Linked DNA regions of Bombyx mori. The protein of the gene in region 1 interacts with the protein of each later gene in a pairwise test. Links are inferred from orthologs where the notes say so. Each region holds a gene or a part of one and is shown on either strand. Other genes may lie near its edges.

Evidence for each region.
Region 2: the proteins of RAB6-interacting golgin (region 1) and N-terminal kinase-like protein interact in a two-hybrid assay, tested with the Homo sapiens proteins (2 studies listed by BioGRID and IntAct). The link is inferred for Bombyx mori from reciprocal best matches to the Homo sapiens genes GORAB and SCYL1.
Region 3: the proteins of RAB6-interacting golgin (region 1) and RING finger and CHY zinc finger domain-containing protein 1 interact in a two-hybrid assay, tested with the Homo sapiens proteins (3 studies listed by BioGRID and IntAct). The link is inferred for Bombyx mori from reciprocal best matches to the Homo sapiens genes GORAB and RCHY1.

Annotation. Positions count from the first base shown.
Region 1 is NC_085117.1:15,787,509-15,792,876, forward strand, and holds the start of RAB6-interacting golgin, read right to left. Parts: upstream 3,435-5,368; 5' UTR 3,232-3,434; coding exon 3,153-3,231; intron 2,641-3,152; coding exon 2,187-2,640; intron 1,057-2,186; coding exon 916-1,056; intron 802-915; coding exon 519-801; 3' UTR 1-518. Other genes in the region: small nuclear ribonucleoprotein protein F, read left to right, coding at 4,788-4,962.
Region 2 is NC_085131.1:8,312,314-8,316,918, reverse strand, and holds the start of N-terminal kinase-like protein, read right to left. Parts: upstream 3,456-4,605; 5' UTR 3,214-3,455; coding exon 2,836-3,213; intron 2,530-2,835; coding exon 2,300-2,529; intron 2,025-2,299; coding exon 1,848-2,024; intron 1,604-1,847; coding exon 1,375-1,603; intron 910-1,374; coding exon 766-909; intron 494-765; coding exon 312-493; intron 1-311. UniProt on the Homo sapiens protein: Regulates COPI-mediated retrograde protein traffic at the interface between the Golgi apparatus and the endoplasmic reticulum. Involved in the maintenance of the Golgi apparatus morphology.
Region 3 is NC_085125.1:12,752,521-12,757,374, reverse strand, and holds the start of RING finger and CHY zinc finger domain-containing protein 1, read right to left. Parts: upstream 3,456-4,854; 5' UTR 3,324-3,455; intron 3,318-3,323; exon of another isoform or gene 3,147-3,317; intron 3,032-3,146; 5' UTR 3,024-3,031; coding exon 2,913-3,023; intron 2,378-2,912; coding exon 2,216-2,377; intron 633-2,215; coding exon 474-632; intron 1-473. UniProt on the Homo sapiens protein: E3 ubiquitin-protein ligase that mediates ubiquitination of target proteins, including p53/TP53, TP73, HDAC1 and CDKN1B. Mediates ubiquitination and degradation of p53/TP53; preferentially acts on tetrameric p53/TP53.

The DNA of each region.
Region 1 (5,368 bases):
GTGTAGTAATCGATTAAAAATGTTAAGGAATCATGGCTTGATACAAAATAACTTTACTAGATTATGTAAGTCTATGGTTACATTAGATAGTACACTAGGTCCACTTTGCGTAGTTGGCAGTTGAACGAAAGTGACAATGATCAAAGATTAGATATACCTCAACCTCCTATGATTTCATAGCCAAATATCGAGTTTCATGCATGCAGTTCACAAATCTTAGGAAGACCTACTTTATAAAAAAGATTAACTTAAAAGAGAGAACCAAAAACGTCATACTATTGACACAAGTGTCCTTAACAATTAAATTTATGGTAATATGATAAGTGTAAAACAAGAACAATTACCAGAATACTACAATCGGGAGCCTCTATTGAAACTGACTGGCTCTAAATTCATTTTTATTTTCAATGAGTTTTAAATTAATTGACATCTCAGTAAATCTTTATTTTTGAATTTTTAATTTCTCTGTTACCCAAACTAATTATGTTTGGTAATGAATTATTGATTTCATAATTATGCTATGATTTATTGGTATTAATTTCGACCATCTTACCTGTCCTCTCATCAACACCATCGATTATAACTGGATTATCGTCATTGAGGGTTAATGCTTCATTAATTTCATTTTTCTTTTCATTAGCAAGTTCGAGCATGAGCGTTTCAAGTTTCTGAGCCTTCCTCATTTCGTTGTGTGTTATTAAGGCGCATAAATGTTCTGTGAGCAGCTCTTTTTTTTCCTTTTCTTTTTGCAGCAGAATCTTCGCATTAAGAAATTCTTTTTCAACTCGTAAGTATTGTTTCCTGAAATATATTTAAACAGAATTAATTGATTATTGCATGTAGGTCGTAAAAATATAATATTAAAGAAGATTTTTATTAATTGACCCTTCTGGAAATAAAAAAATCAATACTAACTCAGCATCAGCATAACTTAAGCAGGCTTGATCTATTTTCTTCCTCAATACTGACACATCCTGTGAAAATTGACTGTCCAATACTTGTAGTTCTTTCTTGATTTTCTCAAGTTTCATTACTTCTTCTTCTGTCTGTTTCGTCCTAAAATTTTAATTTGATACCTGTGTAAATTGTTTTGTCTTTCTTTTCAATACACCTACTGGAATAATTTTTTGTGTTACTCTTGTGAAAGATATACTCTGCAGTAGTTTGTAATTAAGCAGACTACTCTGTGCTAGTAAAACAATACACCTTGATTTACTTGTAGAATGTTCTTTAGGTCAAGATAAAAACTAGCTTTCTGCCTCCATATAGAGGTGGTAGGCAGGGCATGTCAGAGTGGAACTGACTAAAACCGTTTATTACTGAACAGCCCACATCTGAATAAGAATGCATACCTAAATCATAGAAAATGGCATAAGTATTATATACAGCAAAAAAAGTGTCTATGTAAGAAAATAATAACAATAAAATGATAAACATTAAAATATGTAAACATTAGTATCATTAATAAATAAATATTAAAATATATTAACTTATATGATTCATAGTTTAAATGATTAACATTGATGTGTACTTTTTTTTAAATGACATTATTCAACAAATATATTATTATATTACATTTTTAAAACACTAATATTTCATTGCAAAAAGCAAACATTTATAAAAACATTTATGTTTCATCATTTCAACATTTATGTAAACTTTATCAACTTCAACGTAATTTTTCCCTTATCACTGCATGTGTTTGTAACATAATTCTAAATTGAAATCACAACTTCACATTATAACACTGTTGGCAATGTACATGACACATACCATATTGTTTTAGTGATGAGCTGGAAAAACTTTTTGTTCACCATTTTTTTAAGACATTTCGAAAATAATGTTTTTTTTAAATTAAATAAATTTAGCAGTTTAAAATGTATATGCACTGTACACATCTGTTTAGCAATTATCTTGTTTTGTATCTCAACACTGATAATGGATCTCTCAGTTCTGATAACTGATAACTAGGTGACATTCAGACAGATTTCTGATTGCATTGAATTGACACAACCATAAGTATTATAGTGCTCAATTTTAAAAAAGAATTTCTCAGTAAATTTTTATTAGTTTTAAAAATGCAAGTGTGCCCAAAAATTAAGTTAAATTAAAATTAAAAAAGTATTTGTTAACCATAATTATTCATAAATAATACTAATTTAAATTAATTAATTCATCAATCGAACCTGTCAGCTAAAGCTTTTGCAATCATTTCCTTTCTTTTCTTATTCTGTTCTTCCATAATCTTCTGTTTGAGTTGCAATTCTCCTAACTTCACTTTGTGAGAGGCCAGTTCATGTTCTGTATATTGAAAATCAACACCTCTCACTATGTCCGGAGCAGTACTACTCCTTCTACTACTTGTCATATCACTCTTGTCTGCTTCGATAGTATCTACTTGTACTTCATCATTTCCCTCTACATTATTTTGCAAAATAACTTGATTTTGTTTGTCCTCCTCCATTTTAGCATTTTTGGAGGGTGACGTTGGTGTTTTTAAACTAAGCTTACATTTATCAAAATCTATGCTGTCTATTCCATCGTCTGAATCCTGTTTTTGATTAATGGCTGTCTTATATTCATATGGCTTGGTTTTCATTGATAATTTAACTCGTTTTATATTAGAATTTTTTATGTACTCTGTAATTAAAATGGTAGTTGTTATTAAATGTAGACTGTCTCATAGGCAGTAAAAATTGTTGCATTACACACACCATTAATAATAAGGTTGTGCAAGGCACTGATATAGGCCAATCCAATTGGTGGATTATATGTTACTGAAGTAGAAATTATAGATATCTAGTAGATACGACTATGCTTCACTGACATTTGTAATAAAGAAGCAAATTTGTGATCAATTTTACTTTTTTTTTACTTTAATTTTGCTTGCACAATTTGGCTTCAGTGACTTTTATCATTTATATTTTTTCTTGAAACTCTTAGAATCATTTGGCAATCATTATTATTTAGAATATAGCTAATTTTCTTGAAGAAGCTTTGATTTATACCCAAAAATCGTTCTTAGATCTACTTATATATGTTGAGATATTAATATTTCAAATTCTAATCGCATGCGCTACTATTTAAAACTCTGAATAAGCGTTCAGTTATTGATATGCTTAAAAAAAGTATATTTCAAGCTCCATACGTACTGTTTTTACTCTCATCGGCAGTTTCGCCAGATTTAATTCTTTCCAAGTCATCTTCACTAAAACCTGTAAATTGTGACATGTTTTATTTGTTTTTACATAGATATGTCAGGGTTATGTTTTTCATATAAGGTGCATTAATGTAAAAAATTGCAAAACTCATAGATAGATCGTAAACGTAAAAATCTATATTTTCATTGATTCAACACTGATTCACATCAAATTTTTACTATTCTGCAACACTACTTTGACATTGACTATTTGACGTTATTGGAACTTTTTTAATCACGTTAGATTGAATTCTGGTCTTTTAAGCCAAAAACCCATTGAAATAGTGTTTCGCCCATTTAATTATTCGAATCCATTTAACATTTATTTTAACAATATGTACATTTTGTCTTTAAAATGGTTTGGTGTTATAGCTCTACTCTCAGCATAAGCACTTCAACACACAATGTTGAAGTTCTCGTTTTCTATTCCCAAAATAGTTTTATAAAAAAACCGACTCTACTTTCAATTATTTGATGGTTTTTAGTTAGGCCAAAGATCGTTCATACCATCTTTAATTAAACAAACTTATCTAAATGTTTTTATTGCTAATATATAGTTTTATGGAAGCTTTTCACATATTTTTTCTTCTCTTCACATTTTATCAATAGCGAATTCCTCCAAATACGTTGAGAACTTTCAGCTTAGGTGTGTCGTTTTAGTCGCTACAAGCCCTTCTCTATTAGTTAAACATATTTGAAAGTGTAAAAGATTGTGGAAATATAACAAAATCACTGGACCTGACTTCTCAGGACTTTATGTTTATATAAATTAAAGAAAATAATTACCATTTTCTGTAGTTTTTTTTTCAACTGGGCTTCAATAATAATAAGATGAAATACATACTATTATTAATTTTTTACTACATTTTTTTAAAGGGATTTTATGACCTGGACTAACTAAAACTTTTAGGTCAAGTCTTATTTTAATTTTATGTTACGTAACTTTTTTATATGAAAATTATAGAAATGAAATGAAGTTGAATAATATGAAACATGGCATGAAGTGAAATGAAAACGAAATGAAATGAAATGAGATGAGATGATATGGGATGAAGTATAATCTCAGTAAAATGGTGATCATTTACTGAGACTTTTTCAGTGGACTTTTTGGAAGATCTCGAGAACTTACGTTCAGTGGCTTTGTTTCGTTTTCCCACATTTGTGCACTTTCACAGTTACAGTTAAGCAGTTAATAAGCCACCGTTATTACACATTTAAACCTGAAGAAAGACTAATTAGACAAAATAAAACAAACCACTCCTCGCGTTCCCGCCGAAAAGTCCTAGAAAGAACTAATTATAATAAATTTTAAACTACCTGTGTTTTATCTATGGTGGTGTATTATCTATGAGTAGCTGATGGCCGTGTTGCAAATTCAATGCTTTCATAAATAAAAAATAAAAAAATATCTATGAGTAGAAATTAGCGTCGAACTCGAAGCGAAGCCGATACATTTTGAGGTTATATTTTGTATTTCTTGTTAGCCGATATTAAAGTAAGTACTGATGTTTCTTAAATAAGCAATGAAAACAATAAAGGTGGTTTGAAAATGAATTAACATCCAATTTACTTTTTAGAACCTGCAAAAATGGCGGCTGCTATGCCAATAAATCCCAAACCATTTCTTAATAGTCTAACGGGTAAATCCGTGCTAGTTAAATTAAAATGGGGTCATGAATACAAAGGTTTGTTAGTATCAACAGATGGCTACATGAATTTGCAACTTGCTAATACTGAAGAACTTGTCGATGGAACTTGTACAGGTTAGTATTTAAGTGAACAACTTTAAGTAATCACGAAAACATATTAAAGCAAGAGATTAAGATCTACTGGTAGTGGACCTGGACCAAAATTGAATTAAAAATGAGACGTTCATTGTTTGTTTGGTCTATTATGAGTACACTATTCTGCACCCATTTCGACTTCAAAGCTTTCAAGCATTCTGCTTTGAAGAGTAGATTTAATATTCATATTGTAATAAACTTATAAATTCTAGAAGCCACTTAACACTAAATGTCATGGGGTTCATTTGCCCTTTTAAAGAAAAAAAAAGTACTTGCTACAAAGAATGCACAAAATCAATAAATTTCATAACAAGAGACAACTTGACACTTACAAGATTCCAAACCAAACTTTTTGGTTGTGAATAGTTTTGTGAATTTAATTAAT
Region 2 (4,605 bases), on another chromosome or scaffold:
CTTCATAGTAAACTATAACATATTGATTAATGTCAAATTGATTACTTTCAATTGACGACGATTAAGCGGTCAGCGATTTTATTGGACTAACAATAATGAGTTGACGAATCAGGACAACTCATATTTCGGACTCATTAATATCGACATGCAGATCTAAATTTTTATATTGACTTTTGGCGTTTCCGCATAAATATTCTATATATTCTAGACTTACTTTTCTAATTCTATATAATATTCTAGACTATTTCATAGTCTGACGAAATATTAGAATCCGCAATATTTTGTAAAATTAATTGCATTTTATTTCTCACCTTATTCCTCCTTGATCATCTTTAGACTGTAATCTGGCAAAGTGCCGCAATACTTCAACGTTCAGATTGTTGTAATTTAGTTTAGAAGCGAGATGAACAATCGATTTCACAGTTTGTTCCCTAATAATAGCATTTGTGTCCAAGAAGCCATTTACAACTTGCGGGAAAATTTGGTCATTAACCTAAATAAATAAACATAGATTAGTACACTCAGGCCTCTCTTATACAGTCAATGATAAGGCGCTCTATTGTGGCGCTTTATTAAATAAAACATAATTAATTAACGTAGACCTATGGAGCATAAAACCTGTTCACAAGTTACATGCTCCATGATTAAAAAAAAAAAAACCTAGGAATAGCTAAGGTAATAGATTGTTTTCATTGATTTTATCAGTTAAGTACTGTATAATATTGCTTTAGGGGTTTACAAGAATTCTAAACTTTTTTAACTTACTGTCGAATTCTGCAGATGCATAATGAACTGGTCTAGTTGTTGCAGAAGCCTTGATCTTGTCGTTCTGTCATTAGAGGCGAATAGTTTAACAACACAGGGCACTATTTGTTTTTGGTAATCGGGATCTTCTAATAATTTGCCTAGCTGTAAACATATTAGGAGTGAATATATATTGAAATTATTATAAGCGAAAAACATTTCTTCATTAGTGAAAAAGTAGCCAGTAGTTGATATAGTAATATGATTTACATGAATTTGCTAATTTGGGAAATTCAAATATATTACGATATGTATGTATTCAAATATGTTCCTTTTTAGGTTGAGGTTTGCATATGTATATTCTGTTGAGATAAAGTCTAAATATGTTACAGTAATCTGTTATTTAAAAGGTGGATATTAATTAATATTTCATAATTACCAAAACTACAGTACAACTACATAATATAACAATTATATTTTAATACAACAGTACATCTATTATTACTACAATCATAGTATATAATTATGAAACACAGCAGTTTCCAGAATTCAAACGTGAAGTAAATGTTAGAATTTCGGCTGCAGATAATACATTATTTTGAATTAAAAATACTATTGTATCTAACTAACCTTAAACATAGGTGCCAACACAGCAGAACCAGCGTCTCCATAATGAAAGGCAGTCAATAACTGCGGCAGGATCTTATGAACACATACATTTTCTGGGAAGTTATCTAAATGTGAACTAAGACTTGAGAAAAATTTTCCCTTCTCAGCTTTGTCTTTAATTTGAATTTCTTCTAAGAATAACATTGTATCTATCAGATCGTTTTTAAAATATCCACCAAGTTTACGACATCTAAAATGAAAAGTAAAATTTATAATTTTTGTTATTGATATATAAAGAAATCAATACAACTCAAATTCCTTAGCAGCATAAACCTGTTTTAGAGAGAATAAGTTTGTATTATAAAAAGCAAATTTTAATTAATTTTTACTTTGCTCTTGTGATTTGCAAGTCTCCTCTTTCTTTCTGAACATCATGTTACATATATGTATGTAAGTGCTTCATAAGAAAATCAGATATTATTTCAAACATTTACCTGGTAATAATATCAGCCGGGTTAGGTCTTGAAGCAGGGTTAGCACTGACCAGCTCACAGTACAGCGTACATAGCTGTTTTGGTATATTATCTACTGTTTTAAGAGCCGGTTGGTTTTTGAGCGGTCCATTAAATGCCTCCCATATGAGACATCCTAGTCCCCACATGTCTGATGAACTATTAAACAATACTTTAGTTTTTTATATGTTAAGAATGATGAAAAACCTAGACCATTAAGTGGTTCATAATTAAATTCCATAATCATATAATTACTATAAGTTTATTGTAAAAATACACCATGCCTCGATAAATGAATGACCAGATTTTTTTTACATAGTATGAAAATAAGTAACTTATGAATACAGTAATAAATGTAATATCATTGTAACAGAGATATTAATATCTTACTAATTAATTAAAATAGTAAATTAGTCATTCAAAATGAAACTTACCATTTAGTTGCACTTTTAAGTTTTACAGAGTCATTCTTCTCTGGTGGATCATATATTTCAAGGGCAGGTAATATCTTTATTGGTATGGGATTCGTAGTTTCATGTCCTTGGGTTGTTAGAAATTCAAATCCCCCTAGTTTCCATTCACCAGCCAATGTTACAAATACAGAATAGAGGCATACATTGTTATGTCTCATATTTCCATCATTATTTAAAAATGATAAAGCTCTCTGTAGACAATTTTTATAATTTAAATGAATAAAGAAAATGTCAATTTCCTCAATCAATTTTTCATATATTTCAGACTATATCAATTGTAATAAATTTGTAAACTTTAAATTAAATTTCTTTTGAACATAAAGATTTACTTGCACTCTTAGACTATTGGATGCATTATTTCTATCTTTTATTTTATAGCACTCGATATACATAAAAGTATAATTTAGAAAGCTTATTAGAAATGTGTGCAATATTTTTTTTTATCATTATACTTTATTAAATTAATAACGAATTTGAATACTTAAATCAATACTTACAGTTATTTGGAATACGCCCCAGGCAAGAAATAGGTCTTTTTGCTGACCCTCAAGCCTCATACATTCTAAATGAGTTGATAAAGGCTCTACATATTCAGTAGCTATATACAAAAATTTCTCAGTTTCACAGCTATCTAAATAATGTAAAAGGCTAGGGTGTCTCGTAGTCTTCAATCTTTTCAGAGAAGCTTTTGCTATGTCAAACAATGTCTCCGAATTCTTTTGAACGTCGAACAAAAATATTGATACTTCATCCTGAGTACCTCTTTTTTTCCCCTTGTGTAATGTCCAAACACTTCTGTCTTCCAGTTCTGGTACGGGTTCACCAACATCGTACGGAAAATCCTTTGTAGGATCTCGAGAGAAAAATGACCACATAATGCTTCAAATTAAATAAATAATTTACACTATATCAGTCTCCACTTGAACTCTTGAAGCATAATCACTAAGACTTTCAAGATATTTCATAATATTCTAAATAGGTTTTGAATACTAAAGCATAAAAAAACGCGTACAGTTTTCCAAAATAATAGATAAATAAAGTGAAATAAAATGATTGACCAACATAGATACATAGATTAAACACCTATTAGTATTAGCATGCGTAAGCATCTCATAATAGTCTATGAAATTAGCCCAGCATACTTTTTCTGTGCAAATATTAGGTGTACTATCTATGATATTTTTTTCATCATAATGCCGGCCACTGACATGCGCGCAAATATTCGTACATTGTACGAATGTTTGCGCGCATGTGAAGGGCCGTCAAACATTCATTCGCAAACCTAGCGGCTGTGCAAATGGATTCGCATACTCAATTTGCGAACCCGTTTGCGCTTCCTCCTACACTTGTTTACGAATGTCTCACGAATTTCTCCTCCTTTTTAATTCGTCAATAGAACATTGAAGAGAAAAAGAGTTTTTAATTCTTTCCCAGACATCATTAACAGCCATGCTGTTTTTATGGGATTTCTTTTGATGAAGATACGCTACACAGACGTTACGAACTATGAAAATGGCGTATAGTATACGTCCGTGACCTTCGCAATCGTCGGCGCAACTGGGCAAGCGAATATGTGGGAGACTACGCGAAGGTTCGAGGTTCGCGCGCTTTGATGTCTGTTAAAAAACCGACACAGCTTGGAAAACCACGAATGCAGCGAAATCTTTGCGTAATCATTCGCAAATGTCGTCCTACACTTGTGGGTTTGCGTATTCGTGCACATGTGAGTGACCGGTGTAACATGAAGTTCCACAGTGACGCAGATTACATTTTCATGAAAAAGATCTCCAGAAACAGAATTTTAAGAAAGACGAACGGTATTTTTGTTATTTCTTCGCACGAACGTGAGAAACTTTGTTATGTAACTTATTTACTGTTCTCATTTTAGTGTTTCTTGAGGTTTAAATATGTATGGTAGTTATTAACCTCTTAGTGTCTATGAAAGCGCATAAGTGTGCGAAAATGAAACAAAGTCACTGGACGTGGTTTTTTATATTACCCTTGTAGGTGTACGACTGTAGGGTCTTGTGAGTAGTTTTGGAAATAATTTGAAGCATGGGAAATAATTTAGACTATGTATATAGTTTTCATTACTGCTGAGCATAAAGATTGGTCTATGCAGACAAAGCCGCAGGTAGAAAACTAGTTTCTTAAAGGCATTACATAAATTACATTTAAACCAATAACAAGTAACTAAATTTCTTTTAGGAATATTCAAACAATTTTGAACTTTATCCTTTAATAAAAGTAAAAATAGGTATCATTTA
Region 3 (4,854 bases), on another chromosome or scaffold:
TCAAAGTGGGCAGTAGACAAAATAAGTTTGGGAGTCCTTGCTATAGAGAGACAGCCAATTTTAAACATCTAAATTTTGTTTTGACAATCCTGTCATTACATCAGAATGAATATCAGACAAATACTTTAGGGACTACTGCTTTTTTTTTCTTACCTATACTGATAGCCTTAAGAGGTTATTTCAGCTTTGCTAACATGTAGGTGAGGTCATGGGGCTCAAACTGGAGTGTTGCTGACACTGACCCTTGCAAGAGCTGTGCTTCGCAGAATCTACCGCCAGATCGGAAACGCGACCCACTGAGAAGATCCGGCGAGAAACTCACTGGGCTGTGTCTATGGGTTAATTCGCTCGTCGAGCCCTTCGTCGCAAGACGGGTTCGGCGAGGGCGGTGATTGGTGCTTGTGGGACCTAAAAGCACTGTTAATGGATTTTTGGAGGATTACTGCACTCAGATTAGTTTTCAATTGACTCACCCTATGTCCGACCCTTTGCAGCTGAACAGGCAGGCACATGTTGCAGCGTTCACAATGGAAGAACCTATCGCGGCCTCCTACACGACATATGCCGCATCCGTCGCAGTGATACTGTTTCTTATCTTCATCATCAAACAGGTTGCAGATCAAACAAGTGTACTGTAATATTAAGACATTGGTAGCGCAATCAGTACACCTACCAGTACTCAATAATGAAGTTAAGTGAATATTATGGATGCATTGAAGACACAGTCATTCCAAGTGCTAAAACCAGTGGATAATAAATTGCCGTCTACCACTGAGGATATTGCTCAAATATTATTGGTTCCCCAACCCTATGACATGTCCTTCTTCAAACGAGGCTTGTGGAGAGTATTAAACGGGCAGGCAATTGCTTAGCTCTGCCCCTGGCATTGGTGACGCCCATGAGCAACGATGACCACTCACTATCAGGTGGGCGGTACGCTCGTTTACCTACACGAGCAATAAAAAACATTGTTTAAAGAAAAATAATTCACTGTCTGTAAACAAAAAAAGCATTTGTTACATGATGTTATCAAAATAAATAAAGTAAGTGTGTTTTAATTAACATCTTCACTATCTACAGACGTTTTATGTACTTGCCAAGGTCTTACAGTTAACTCGATTTATTTATGACATTATTTGTTTAATGTGTGATGTACGTCGGGTAAACTACAAGTTATTGATTCTCCACTGCAAACAGGACATTGAATTCTAATTTCAATAGGGGTATTGCTTTTTTTGTCTTTACACAAACATGAAATATGTTTGATTTTATATATTAATAGAAATGAATCTCCATTTCCTGCTCAACTATATGCTAATTTTACGTAGATCTTATACCTGATAGACAGCAGGTTTTAAAAATAAAATCTTGGTAGACGGGGTGCTTTATTATAACTTAAGTGGTGTTAATTGGTTGAAGGAGCCCATAGACATCAGATGAAACATGAGGTCACATTTGAATTCTATAAGGTCTGTCCAATCCTTTAAACTGAAGTGCATGAATTCTTAACACCAGATAGTGATAGTGGTAACTTTTTATTTGAGTTTAAAATATGTCCTACTACTATTATGTTAAGTAGTCTATAGTTCTCCCATCCATGTCTTCTTCAGTCAAACTCTTCCCCCTCTACCTTGACAGCTTTCTAGTGCTTCCTAGTGACAATTTGACAAAATGTTGTTGAATGAATTTAAGCTGTATCCTGCTTTAGAATGTATTGATAGGTTCAGTAACATATGCATGAACAATATTTGTTCAAGCTTCAGTTCTGTACTTGCTCTAGTGGCCAAGCAATCGTGTTTATAGGGTACTACAGGCTTAAATGACATATTATTACATTTTGGTACATTTACATATCTTATACCTTTAAACGAGCAATTCTTGTATATTAATATATATATAATCTGAATCTCTGAAACGGCTCCAACGATTTTCATAAAATTTAGTATACAGGGGATTTCAGGGGCGATAAATCGATATAGCTACGATTTATTTTCAGAAAATGTTGTTTTATTCGTGTTTTCAATAATCTATTGGCGAATAATATTATTTTTCTTAATTGAGGGCAACTAACCGCTTTAAAGACACAACAAGATGGCGTTATAAAAAAAAAACTGAGCAAAGCTTGGTCATCGTCTAGTTACTCAAATATGTTTGGCATCCTATTAACAACTTCTTAATATCACTGTTACATCTCACGAGTTTAAAGCAACATTACCTTTCCAAACCTAACTCCACAGTTCTGGCATTCTGGCTGCACCTTTTGTCTTGTGTCGCACTCGGTGCATATCAGCTCTGTAACAGTCTTCCTATTGAAATAGTGTTGTTCGTTTTCATCATGACAGTAACGGCAGATGTACACTTTGTTACAGCATGGAGTCTAGAAAGCAGATTTGTTTTTATTATTAGTTCTTTGTTATTGGTTTTGGTGATGTGTAAGAATATTTATTTGTTTATATTTCAACCTCAAAAGATATATTTTGTAATGTAGTGAAATGGTAAGCATTATTGCCTGTTTCTAAAGTGGTTAAGCCAATCTGAATGCATATTTTGATAATACAATAAGCTTAGTCCAATATATAGTGTTCTTTTCATTTACATCAACAGACAAATCATTTTTAAAGCGCGTAATTATTGGACATATACATGAACATGACTAGAAAGAATTAAATCAATGCTTCGTCTAATGCTTTTGTTTTCTGTACATTTTTTTTATTTAGAATAAGGATCACGGCCAAAATCGGAGGTTCGTTGACTTCACTTTGTTTTCGTATTTTCGCATTTCACCATCTCGAGATTCCTACGTGACATTTATAATTAGAATCTAGAACGCGTCTTTTGTACCCCGAGGTGTTCTAGCTGAAATATGTGTGTAGTATATGAATTTATACATCGCAATTAATATACAAACTCACCACAAACTTCGCTCGCCGTTTGTAATGAGCACAGCCTATGCGTTTTTCACCGTTTTGTTCAGCAACTGTGGAACTATCGCCGTTTACACTTTCTGACTTTTCCTTCGACATTATGTAGTCTGGAATACAAACCAATTACCTTTAATAAAAGCTCAAGGTCTACACACGTTATACACTATTGATTCTTGCAATAATTTCATTGAATGAGATCCTAAATATCACTTAGGTTTGGTCATTGGTATCGATGTTGTCATGATTGTCGTGACATTTAGGTTGTTAATATGCACGTTCCAGGAGGAAAATAAGTTTTTTAATGTTTTACGGTGAAACAACCGTATTTCAAACGAATTAAGAGCGAAAGAGCTACTAAAAAGGTAGGTATGTTACAAATATCAAATATGACTGACTCACTCCTTAGGTACTGCTTTTCGGAATCGTAAACAGTCAGGTTACTGCCAAATGCCAACTTGACATTTCACTGTGGTGACGTTGTTAATTTGTGTCATTAGCTGCTGTCAGTGCTTTGTTCTTTTATCTTCAAATGCAAAAAATCTACTTATAATCGGTACGTTTATGTATTCATTTGAGATTGTATCATGGGCTACGATGATATGAATCAAAACAATCTCAATGGAATATGTGGTTTAAAAAATACCTACAGGAATGAGTGGTATAAGCCAAATGCGCTAATCTGTACGTCCGCGTAGTTTAATTAAAATTATAAGTTATTTTAAAAGTGAAACTTTGCTACTCATTCGCATGGGGACTTCATTCCAGAGCCGGGTGGTCCAAGGCAGAAATGATTACTGAAAAGGCCCTACATTGAGCTTTGCTTCGGTATGAATGAGATGACGGTATCATCTCAAATCACATGTCACCAATCTCCAGTGATTTTAGTTTGCCCACCTGTCCTGGTGTAACTGGAAAGGCCTCTGTCTCTGGGCCGCAAGTAATCCCTCATTCATAAAAAAAATGGTTTAGTAATGCGTTTCGGTTGGAAGGGTGGGGCAGCCGTTGTAACTATACTGAGATCTTAGAACTTATATCTCAAGGTGGGTGGCGCATTTACGTCGTAGATGTCCATGGGCTCCAGTAATTACTTAACACCAGGTGGACTGTGAGCTCGTCCACCCATCTAAGCAATAAAAAAGAAATAGTATAGGTTCCAGCCTGGACGGGCTTGCGGTACCCTTGCATTAGTAAAGGACAATGCCCAAAAGTGGGCCAACTTTATGTCAAAACTATTTGTACTTGAAAAACTATGCCTTATTTTTTCACGTTGTTTAGTTTATGTATCAACATTTCTTTCTACCTGGCATTGTTTTCCAAAAAAATAAATTACTTATTTGATAACATCCCAAAACTATCCATGCCATAGTCTTTAAATTCGCCAATAGGCAAAGGGCTTAGCCCATACAGCCTTATAGCAAACCTATATGCTGTCAAACGAAAGAGTTGTTTGTGACTTGAACAACAAATTAAAAAAAAATAGCTAATGCTTATAATTCACAGGCTTCTTAGTTTATTTTTGTTCAATTCAATATTTATATATTGTAATATAAATATTGAATTATTGAATAAAATGTATTACTTAAAACCATGAATTATTTAATATTTTTAGATATTAATGATTCCATTACTAAAAATATCAATGGCCTACCATTACTCTATTCTTATTACATATATATGATCAGAGAGTTTTGGCAGCAACCCGAGTGAAGCGTCACTTGAATTTTTATTTTAATGTTTTTTTAATAGTTTATTGTGTAATTTGTATTTGTAATATTGTGTATAAAAGGTCTGCGTAAACTCATGCTCAGTCAATGTGGTATTCGTCGAGTTGACGTCAAAACTCCCAAAAAGCAATAAAAAGAGATACACCGGCTTTTTATTGACATAAAAAATATATAACTTCGACAGACTAGGCTGTATAGGCTACGCT